Macaca fascicularis: one gene and its partner. The main gene of each other region encodes a partner of the protein of the gene in region 2 in a complex. Links are inferred from orthologs where the notes say so. Each region holds a gene or a part of one and is shown on either strand. Other genes may lie near its edges.

The links. Proteins that work in one complex are often made in the same cells at the same time.
Region 1: the proteins of PRELID1 (region 2) and TRIAP1 are in contact, whole or in part, in a crystal structure (PDB 6I3V), measured with the Homo sapiens proteins. The link is inferred for Macaca fascicularis from reciprocal best matches to the Homo sapiens genes PRELID1 and TRIAP1. Residues at the interface, in NP_037369.1 of Homo sapiens: Trp15, Asp16, Phe19, Ala20, Trp23, Gln24, Tyr26, Pro27, Val34, Leu35, Thr36, Glu37, Asp38, Ile39, Val40, His41, Arg42, Val44, Gln48, Lys49, Leu50, Leu51, Ser52, Arg53, Leu55, Thr57, Tyr79, Leu81, Asp83, Ser84; in NP_057483.1 of Homo sapiens: Met1, Asn2, Ser3, Val4, Lys12, Tyr15, Asp16, Phe19, Asn20, Trp22, Phe23, Phe27, Leu28, Gly30, Asp31, Ser32, Phe41, Tyr44, Gln45, Val48, Gln49, Ile52, Ile57, Pro58, Ile59, Leu62, Glu63, Phe64, Met65, Gly66.

What each region holds. Positions count from the first base shown.
Region 1 is NC_088385.1:127,471,049-127,476,381, forward strand, and holds TRIAP1 (TP53-regulated inhibitor of apoptosis 1), read right to left. Parts: upstream 3,489-5,333; 5' UTR 3,452-3,488; coding exon 3,305-3,451; intron 2,069-3,304; coding exon 1,985-2,068; 3' UTR 1,079-1,984; downstream 1-1,078. Other genes in the region: GATC (glutamyl-tRNA(Gln) amidotransferase subunit C, mitochondrial), read left to right, coding at 3,560-3,640, 3,736-3,908. UniProt on the Homo sapiens protein: Involved in the modulation of the mitochondrial apoptotic pathway by ensuring the accumulation of cardiolipin (CL) in mitochondrial membranes.
Region 2 is NC_088380.1:184,238,358-184,243,524, forward strand, and holds PRELID1 (PRELI domain-containing protein 1, mitochondrial), read left to right. Parts: upstream 1-1,831; 5' UTR 1,832-2,012; coding exon 2,013-2,104; intron 2,105-2,610; exon of another isoform or gene 2,611-2,651; coding exon 2,652-2,877; intron 2,878-3,885; coding exon 3,886-3,999; intron 4,000-4,112; coding exon 4,113-4,191; intron 4,192-4,436; coding exon 4,437-4,585; 3' UTR 4,586-4,974; downstream 4,975-5,167. Other genes in the region: RAB24 (ras-related protein Rab-24), read right to left, coding at 1-32, 173-223, 444-543, 624-691, 801-879, 1,041-1,109, 1,205-1,321. UniProt on the Homo sapiens protein: Involved in the modulation of the mitochondrial apoptotic pathway by ensuring the accumulation of cardiolipin (CL) in mitochondrial membranes.

The sequences.
Region 1 (5,333 bases), on a different chromosome or scaffold from region 2:
GAGTAGCTGGGACTACAGGCCCACACCACCATACCCCGCTAATTTTTTTGTAGAGATGGGGTTTCGCCATGTTGCCCAGGCTAGTCTCGAATTCCTGAGTTCAAGTGATCGGCCCATCTCACCTTCCAAAGTGTTACAGTCATGAGCCACCATACCCGGCCTGTAATTCAAGTTTCATACTTCTTTGGGCATATAATAAAACCAAATTACTCAAGTAATTGTGGGGATTCCGTGACATTCTGAGGTATGTAAGTGCTCTCCTGATCCTTTTTTGGTACCATATTGTATTTGTGTAGCATGTTGTGTAGCATAGTGAGGTTTTGACTGGGTGCAGTGGCTCACACCTGTAATCCCAGCACTTTGGGATGTCAAGACTGGCAGATTACCTGAGGTTAAGAGTTTAAGACCGGCTGGGCGCGGTGGCTCAAGCCTGTAATCCCAGCACTTTGGGAGGCCGAGACGGGCGGATCACGAGGTCAGGAGATCAAGACCATCTTGGCGAACACGGTGAAACCCCGTCTCTACTAAAAAATACAAAAAACTAGCCGGGCGAGGTGGCGGGCGCCTGTGGTCCCAGCTACTTGGGAGGCTGAGGCAGGAGAATGGCGTAAGCCCGGGAGGCGGAGCTTGCAGTGAGCCGAGATCGCGCCACTGCACTCCAGCCCGGGCGACAGAGCAAGACTCCGTCTCAAAAAAAAAAAAAAAAGAGTTCAAGACCAGCCTGGCCAATATGGTGAAACCCCATCTCTACTAAAAATACAAAAATTAGCTGGGCATTGCGGTGCACGCCTGTAATCCCAGCTACTCGGGAGGCTGAGGCAGGAAAATCATTGGAACCCAGGAGGTGGAGGTTGCAGTAAGCCGAGATTGCACCACTGCACTCCAGCCTGGGCGACAGAGCCAGACTGTCTCAAAAAAAAAAATCAGTGAGGTTTCTGATTGCCATACTGTACCACCTAGCTTAGACAAGTCACTTTTTCTTCACCTTTAAGTTACAAAACTCTCCCTGGTGTATACGTGAGGTTTGTAGGGTAACAGGGTAATAGTTCCATAAAATGCACTGAGTTCCAGAGGCAAATAATGATAGAAACTAAATGTTACAATTTATTCCATCTTCAGGATTACAGACATTACAGGGCAGGATGAGTAAACAAGGCAAATAAAGCCAGCACCTTTAGCTTCCCCCCCCACCCGCCCACCATTTAACCAGATGCAGCATTTTAAGGATATGCAGGTTGACAATTCACTGACTTGGGTTGAAAGCTGGCAATAGCAGATCTTTGCAATTTAGGTTCTTCCTCCATAGCTATTCCAAATATCTTAATTCCTGAACTACACACTGAGAGCTCTGAAATGGTGGTCATTCCAACATTCTTGCAGCTTTCACATCTTAATCTGACACCTCTGGTGAAGGCAGGGAACTGTGTTAAAAGCTGTCTTCCTCTTTGCTAATCCAGGCCACCAGTAATCTTAACCATTAGTTACTATATAAAAATAAAAGTGTGCTCAAAAGCACTCACTGAAACTGTTGTGCCCAGATCCTTTTTCAGAGCATTAGTTCCCTGAGAGAAAAAAAGAGGTCTTAACCAATTGCTTTCATGAACGATGACCCCAGTACAGTGTATATGTCTTTCGCAGCAGAAATCAAGAGGTCAGGCAGCTCTGCTCATCCTGACTAGTTTATCATCGTTTGCATACAAGGTATATTTATGTAAAGCTGATTCCACACCAAGTATTGCAACCATAATCTCAAAAAATTGTTCAATTTTAGCACACTGAGTTCCTGCCAGATGCCACAGCAGGTAAGAAATCATCTCAAAGAGTTCATCTTTTACAACTGAGAGGAAAACATCGAAGGGGGAAATAAAACTCCTCTCTCCTAAGTTCCTCATCAAATCTGATGGCTAGGTTCACAGATTTAGTTGACAAAAATCCAGAGTCCTCAATTTCTGGATTGAGAAATCCTTCAAGGTGACTGTCAAGGTCAAGAAGAATTTTCAGACTTTTCTTTGCCATGGCCCATGAATTCCAATCCTTCAATAGGAATCTCTTTCTCCTTTATTGCTTTCTGGTAGGAGGAGAAAACACATTATAAGGATCTATATGAAGCTCAAGTTGCAAGCTTTGTAAATAAAATATGACAGCACAAAAGTAAAATCAAGCTGATTATAAAGACTTATAACCATGATTCAAACCACATACTTTTTAAAAAACAAGTACCAGTAGGGTGTGGTGGCTCAGGTCTATAATCGCAGCATTTTGGGAGACCAAGGCAGGTGGATCACTTGAGGCCAGAAGTTAGAGACCAACCTGGCCAACATGGCGAAACCCTGTTTATACTAAAAATACAAAAATTAGCTGGGCATGGGGGTGCATGCCTGTAATTCCAGCTACTCCGGTGGCTGAGGCATGAGAATAGCTTGAACCTGGGAGGCGGAGGTTGCCAGTGAGCTGAGATTGTGCCATTGCACTCCAGCCTGGGAGACAGTGAGACTGCCTCAAAAATAAATAAAAACCAAAAGTACCATAATGAATAAATCAAGTGTAAGACCTGAGGGAGACTGGAAAAGGAGTTGTGAGGGAACCATTAAAATTAAGTGAAATTTGAAAAATAATCATCACTTTGTGTTGGTGAAAGACTTACTGGCTATGTGACCAACTAAATGGGATGAAGACAGCAACTACCTCGGGGAACTGCTGTGAGGATGTGTTGGGTTAACTTATTGGAAGTGCTTTGCCCAGTGCTGTTCTAACAATTCAAAGCAGTTCCACATCCATTGGGCCAGAATAAACATTTCCTAGCTGCAGTTGCGGGGACTGGTCAAGAGAGATAAACAGGCTAACGAAGGGTTTATAACATCAAAATAATGTGATCCTCCAGTCTGAAGTATAACCCCGCCCAGACCTCAGCTGTAATAGTGGAAAAGTGCACCACCTGCGAAAGAATCAAGGCAACCTGGTGCTAGTGAACTCGGATCAATCACTTCCTATTTCTGGGTGTTAGTTTTTTATGTACAAAATATGAGTAACTATACCCACCTTGCGAGTTTAGGATGAACACCAAATGAACCAAAAGATGTGACTGTGTGTCTTAAAAACAAAAGCACTGCACCAATATTTGTCATTCGGGGAGACACCCAAACGGCCTCGGTGGTGATGATAGGGGAGCGAGCTCCTGCCACTGACCTCACTGCGGCTTTTCTCCACCCTTCCAGTCCAGTCCCAACCCCCATAAAACACGACGAGTGTAGTGGGACACAGCGCGGAGAATGCGGGGCCTGGAAACAGAGGCGGAAGGGCTCACCTGAACACATTGCTGGTAGCGCTTGAAGAGGTCGGTGCACGGGTCCCCGGAGCTGTCCCCCTTGAGAAACTTCTCGGCGAACCAGCGATTGAAGCACTGGTCGTATTCGCGCTTCATGTCCGTGCATGCCTCCCCCACACTGTTCATGGCGACAGTGGTGTCGGCGGCGGCGGCAGCGCACTCTGATGTCATCACTCTTAGGCGCGTCGCTCGGCGTTACGCGCGGGCGCACTACGGGGGCCAAGGAAGGAAGAAATGTGGTCGCGGTTGGTGTGGCTGGGCCTTCGGGCCCCTCTGGGCGGGCGCCAGGGCTTCACGTCCAAGGCGGATCCTCAGGTAAAGGCCAGGGCCATCTAGGCGGGTGGCGGAGCAAGCCGGGAGGCACACCGGGGCGCCGGTGAACCACACTCCGTGCCTCATTCCTCCTCCAGGGCAGTGGCCGGATCACGGCCCAGGTGATCGAGCACCTGGAGCGTCTAGCGCTTGTGGACTTCGGCAGCTGCGAGGCAGTGGCGCGACTGGAGAAAGCTATCGCCTTCGCCGACCGGCTACGTGCGGTGGACACTGACGGGGTGGAGCCCATGGAGTCGGTCCTGGAGGACAGGTAAACTCGAGGCTGCAGCCCCGAAGCCTTGAGCGTGGCCCGTTCGCAGCCGTTTAATGTGACGATTAGCGAACAATTTTCCAGGGGGTTAAAGAGCGTTAGCGAGATTCAGGAACTTGCCCACGGTCACCTCGCGAGTCAGTGGCTTCACTCTTCCCCTTGTTCATTACGGATGCTCTCGCTCGTGTCGTCCTAGTGTAAGTAGAAACAAAACCCAAACTGCTCATCATCGCCTTTGTGTTTTTTTTCTTGAGACGGAGTCCAGACTGGAGTGCAGTGGCGCGATCTCGTCTCACTGCAAGCTCCGCCTCCCGTGTTCAAACAATTATCTTCCTCAGCCTCCCGAGTAGCTGGGATTACAGGCGCCTGACACCACGCCCGGCTAATTTTTTTTTTTGTATTTTTAGTAGAGACGGGGACGGGGACGGGGTGTCACCGTCTTGGCCAGGCTGGTCTTGAACTCCTGACCTCGTGATCCACCCGCCTCGGCCTCCCAAAGTGCTGGGATTATAGGCGTGAGCTACCGCGCCTGGCCTAATTATCGCCTTTGAGCCCCTACTCCATAGAGTCCCTGCCTGCTCACTCAGACATACTCTTCTCAGTACCCTCCTTGGCTACCTTGACTGCGTCTCCAGCAAGACAAGTTCTTTCCCTCTCTAGATCTTTGCACTGACCCTTCGTTTTTTCCTGCCTCTCAGTATTTGCATGGCTGCCTCCCTCTTGGCACAGGTCTCAGCTTATCTTCTGGGAAAGGGCTTTCCTAACCACTGCAAATCCCTTCTCCCCTTCTGGTTAGTAACACATCCTATTGGGTTTTTTCCTCTAACATTTTAATGGACTTTTGTTCATTTGTTATATCTCTTTTATTAAAATGTGAGCACTTTATGAGATTTGGTTCCGGTTGCATTCCTGCCTCGAATTTTTATTTTTATTTTTATTTTTATTTTTTTATTTTTTTGAGACGGAGTCTCGCTCTGTCACCCAGGCTGGAGTGCGGTGGCCGGATCTCTGCTCACTGCAAGCTCCGCCTCCCGGGTTTACGCCATTCTCCTGGCTCAGCCTCCCGAGTAGCTGGGACTACAGGCGCTCGCCACCTCGCCCAGCTAGTTTTTTGTACTTTTTAGTAGAGACAGGGTTTCACCGTGTTAGCCAGGATGGTCTCGATCTCCTGACCTCGTGATCCGCCCGTCTCGGCCTCCCAAAGTGCTGGGATTACAGGCTTGAGCCACCGCGCCCGGCCTTTTATTTTTATTTTTTGAGATGGAGTCTCACTCTTATCACCCAGGTTAGAGTGCAGTGGCATGATCTCAGCTCATTGCAACCTCCACCTCCCAGGCTCAAGAGATCCTCCTACTTCAGCGTCCAAGTATAGGACCACAGGCTCATGCCACCAGGCCTGGCTAATTTTTTTTTTTTTTTTTTTTT
Region 2 (5,167 bases):
GTAATCCTCTGCCACTTTCTGGAAGAGCTCGTCTGGCAGGAAAAATGATGATCAGTGAGGGCCCAATGCCAGTAGCCCTGGGATCTCCCAGTGACCCAGCCCTCTGTGCCCTATTCAGCTTCCTCTGGTGCTCCTGTGTGTTCCTGCTGTGAGGCCCCAGCACAGCACTCACCCACACTCTGGCCTGTCTTGCTGGATGTTTCAAAGAGCTGAGCTTTGATATCTGTAAAGAGAAGTGACTAAAGCCTCATACCTGAGAATTAGATAAACAGACAAAAGGGAGGGCTAGCAGTTCAGGCAGTCTCCTGGACCCCACAGTTCAAGGAGGCCAGGAAGACCTCCTAGAGCACCTTGCCCTGGCAGCCAAGGCAGTCCCTATTTTCTGTGATCCACCCAGACAGCCACACACTCCCACCCCCCCCAAAGGGCTGAGGAGCAGCTACTGTCTGCATAGTCCTGGACGTCATGGAAGTCCACACGTCGACGCCTCCGGTCTTCTTCCAGCAGGTCACTCTTGGTGCCACAAAGGTAGATTTGGCAGCCCTGAGACAGAAGACAAGGGTCACCCCCACAGACCAACAGAACCCCAGCCCCTAGTCTTCTAGTGAGGTCTGTTCACCTACCTCCTCTAGGCTGCGCAGTTCCTTCACCCAGAACTTTGCTCGCTCAAAGCTGCTGCTGTCTGTGAGGTCTTGGTGTGCGGCATGCAGGAGACACAACCAACTGGTCAAGGGCTGTTCTCTGGCTAGCCTGGCACCCATCTCTTCTTGTGGGACAGGCCAGAACCCCCCCGCCCTTACCATAGCAAACGATGGCAGCCTTGGCACCCCGATAGTAGATTCTACTCATGGCCTCATAGCGCTCAGAGCCTGCTGTGTCCTAAAGAGTAAGGCTTGAGTCAAACTTAAGGCCATGTTCTCCAGAACCCGCAATTTCAGATAAGGAAACGGGTCTATGAGGCCACAAATCAACCAGTAATAGGAAGGACCTACACCTCCTCAGGAATGAGTCTCCCAAGAATAGATGCCCAGGGGACTTACCCAAATACCTAATGTCACAGTCCGGTCTCCGACCGACATCACCTTGGCCACGAAGGCGGCCCCGATGGTCTGCAACGAGAGGGAAGAGATCCGAGCCATAGGTGCAGATTACCGCCCCCCCCACCCCTCCGCCCACCGTGCCTGGCCCCTCCGGATGCACTTACGTTCTGATAGGGCCCCACCAGAAAGCGGTCGTGCACGTAGCGCTCCACCAGGCTTGTCTTGCCCACGTACTCCTTGCCCAGCATCACCACCTTGACGTCCACGCGCTGCCCGCTCATGCTCCTGGGGCCGCTTCAGCCACGTCAGGGTCCTGAGCGGGGACGGGAGGCAAACCCCGATCTCCGCTCGGCCCAGGCAGCGCCCAAGCCTCCGACCCCGACCCCAAACGGCGCCAACCTACGACTCGAGACAGCGCGTCGAGCTCGAGCTCTGGCCGTGGCCTTGCACTTCGGCAGCGCCCCGTGTGCCCCCGCTGTTCGGCTCCGGGCGCCGATTATCTTTCGAAGACCCCAAACCCCGGGGCGGCCTGGGAGCGCGCGGGACAGCGTCCTCAACAGCGCAGCACGCCGCCGTGCAGCTCGCTACTCCGTCATTCGCTCGCCTGCCCGGCTTAAGCTCCGTTCTGGCTGGGAATCCCAACCGAACCCGGGGTCTCCTGCAACCCGGCTCCTATCCGCAGCGCCGCGACTCCCGCGGGAGGGGGCGAGAGGGCGAGGGGGCGGGGCCGCAAGGTCACGTGGCGCGGGCGCCGGAAGCGGTTGCTACAGTGTGACTGCGCCGGAAGTAGCGCGCGGCCGGACAACTTATGGCGGCGGCGGCAGCAGCTGCTTGGGCGCGGTGCGGTGGTGATTGAGCTACGAGCCTGGCGGCGGGTGTGCGCCGAGCCCCGGCCCGGCCCGGCCCCCGCGTGCCTCCCAGGCTCCGCACCCCTGATGCTGCGCGGGTGCTGAGCCCGCTCCGGCCGGGACGATGGTGAAGTATTTCCTGGGCCAGAGCGTGCTCCGGAGTTCCTGGGACCAAGTATTCGCCGCCTTCTGGCAGCGGTACCCGAATCCCTATAGGTACGTGGTATTTGGAAGAGCAAAACTTCGCCATCTCGCTATTTGGAGATCGAAGTGTGGGTAATCCCCAAGTAATGGGACCAGGAAGGACTCGACATCGAATCCTACGTAGACCTTATTGGGGAAGCGGCCAGGCCAGGCCTGCAAGGTCCTGAAGGGAGGTTGGGCCTGGGCGGTGGTTTGCTTGAGACTTTAGTATAAGATTCTTTTCTCAGTGTGGTGAGACAAGAAGAGGCGGCAGTATGGGAGTTGGGAGGGATCTTGGGATTGGAAATCCTGTTCCTCTTCCCATGGCGCTTTCCTGGGGTGCAATAAATCATGAGGTCCATTGCTGCTAGAAGGCAGGAATCCAGGTCAGTCAGATGGCGGGAGTTGGAATTTGCCCTGGGATGGGCCCTTGACTCTGGTCTGAACCATAGCACTTACCACCTTGCAAGGTTACAGGAAGGCGTGGCCTCTCTAGGCCCGGAGACTCCAAATGGGAATCCCCTCGGGCAATCTCTTAGGGGCAGGCTCCTGAGGGTCACCTTCACCCTGACACCTGCAGCAAACATGTCTTGACGGAAGACATAGTACACCGGGAGGTGACCCCTGACCAGAAATTGCTGTCCCGGCGACTCCTGACCAAGACCAACAGGATGCCCCGCTGGGCCGAGCGACTGTTTCCTGCCAATGTTGCTCACTCGGTGTACATCCTGGAGGACTCTATTGTGGACCCACAGAATCAGACCATGACCACCTTCACCTGGAACATCAACCACGCCCGGCTGATGGTGAGACGCCTCCTGCTGTGATTCTGCACCTCCCCCTCTCCCCTCCCAGCCAGATAGCTCCTCAGATACATGTGGCTAGAGAGCCATAAGGGAGCTTTTGTGGTCTGAGGCAGGTCTGGGTTACTGAGGGTTGACAGCTGTAGAGTATGACCTCAGATTTTCTTCTTTTCAGCTGGTCATCCTCTCTGGACCTGTCTTTTGACTCATTCATACAGTAGGGGAGGGTACCTATCTTATTTCGTTGTCACTCCCATCGGGTACAGGGCACAGATATGTGTTGGACTCACAGGAGTGATGCTGAGTGGGGAAGGGAGTGCTTTTCTTTGTTTCTTTTTTTTTTTTCTGTTTTTTGTTTTTTTTCCTGGTGACAGAGTCTCACTCTGTCGCCCAGGTTGGAGTGCAGTGGCATCATCTCACCTCAGTGCCACCGCCACCTCCCAGGCTCAGGCAATTCTCGTGCCTTAGCCTCTTGAGGAGCTGGGTTTACAGGCGCACACCACCACGCCTGGCTAATTTTTGTATTTTTAGTACAGACGAGGTTTCACCATGTTGGCCAGGCTGGTCTGGAACTCCTGACCTCAAGTGATCCGCCCGCTGCAGCCTCCCAGGGTGCTAAGATTACAGGCGGGAGCCACAGTGCCGGGCCAGTGTTTTTATTTGGACTGTCAGGAAGCTCCAGAGCTGCAGTCGGTGGAAGGCGACTAAAACACTGCATGTGTATAGATGCATAAAACAAAATGCAGGAGCAGGACGGGCTGGAAGGCCCTTCGTTGATCTTAAGAGACCTTTTGCTTTCAGTTTTAAGGGTCAGAAGAGAAGTTTTCGAGAGCAAAATGACCTTATTTATGGCTTTGTGCTCTGTCAGTGCCACTTGGTGGTGCAGTCAGGGGAAGGAATGGATTTTCATTGTATCGCTTCGCCTCATGAAAAGAGACAGGGAGTCAAATTTATGTGCAAGTTGGCAAAATGAAAGACTCTTCCACGGTTGTGGTTGGCCTCTCTGCATAGGTGGTGGAGGAACGATGTGTTTACTGTGTGAACTCTGACAACAGTGGCTGGACCGAAATCCGCCGGGAAGCCTGGGTCTCCTCTAGCTTATTTGGTGTCTCCAGAGCTGTCCAGGTAAGCAGTGTTGTTGGGGCTGTTGGGGCCCTGGGACCCAGTGCTTTTGGTATTGGGGCTGGGCTGGGGTCAATGGGCAACTCAGTATCCTTCCCCTTCTCATCTTATGGCAGGAATTTGGTCTTGCCCGATTCAAAAGTAATGTGACCAAGACTATGAAGGGTTTTGAATATATCTTGGCGAAGCTACAAGGTGAGTTTCTGGGTATGTGGAGATTCCTCGTAGGGCGAGGCTCATTCAGCCTAGCAGGTGTGGAGTCTGGGTCAGTCATTGCCCTGCTCTGAGTTGGGACTTCTTGTCTGTACTGGGGGTGGGAGGAGGGTGAATACCACCTTTTTAGTGGAGCCTGGCCCAGGGGAGGTCTGTGGCATGGGGGAGGGAAATGAGGTTGGTCTTTCAGGCATCCTCTGAAGCCAGCCGCCTGCCCTTCACGACAGGCGAGGCGCCTTCCAAAACACTTGTGGAGACAGCCAAGGAAGCCAGGGAGAAGGCAAAGGAGACGGCACTGGCAGCTACAGAGAAGGCCAAGGACCTTGCCAGCAAGGCAGCCACCAAGAAGCAGCAGCAGCAGCAGCAGTTTGTGTAGCCAGCCCACCACCACCACAGCACCCCAGACAGCTAGGCTTAGCCCCTCTGCCCTCCCTCCATTGTACTTTATCATTCAAAATCAACTTCAGCCCTATCTGCTGTCTGGGTGGTGGGTTGTGGGGAGGCAGTTTGGCATCTGCAGGACAGCAAGGCACGTGATTCACATCTGTGCCAGGTCTGCTTATTCTCCCATGGGGCAGCTGAGGACCGAGGCACAGAGGTGCGGTGACTTGCCCGGGGCTCCAGGTAGCCTGCAGGTTAACTGGCGGTAAGTGCTAGACTGTAAGCCCCACGAGGGCAGGGCTTTTGGTTTTGTTCTCTGAAGTGTCTCAATATCTAGCACATAATAGACACTCAATAAATACTTATTGAATTCAGTCAGCCCCAGCTCTGGAGTCGGAAGGCTTTGGTTTGAATCTTGATTCCACTGTTTTTGGACCTCAGGTAAGTCAAGTCACTCAGCCTCATTTCCACCATCTGTGAAGTGGAGACAGAACAGCCTCCGAGTTGTGAGGATTAAGTGCACTGCCTGGCACGGCCAGCAGTGTCAGCGATGGGAACTGATCTTATTTCCTCTTCC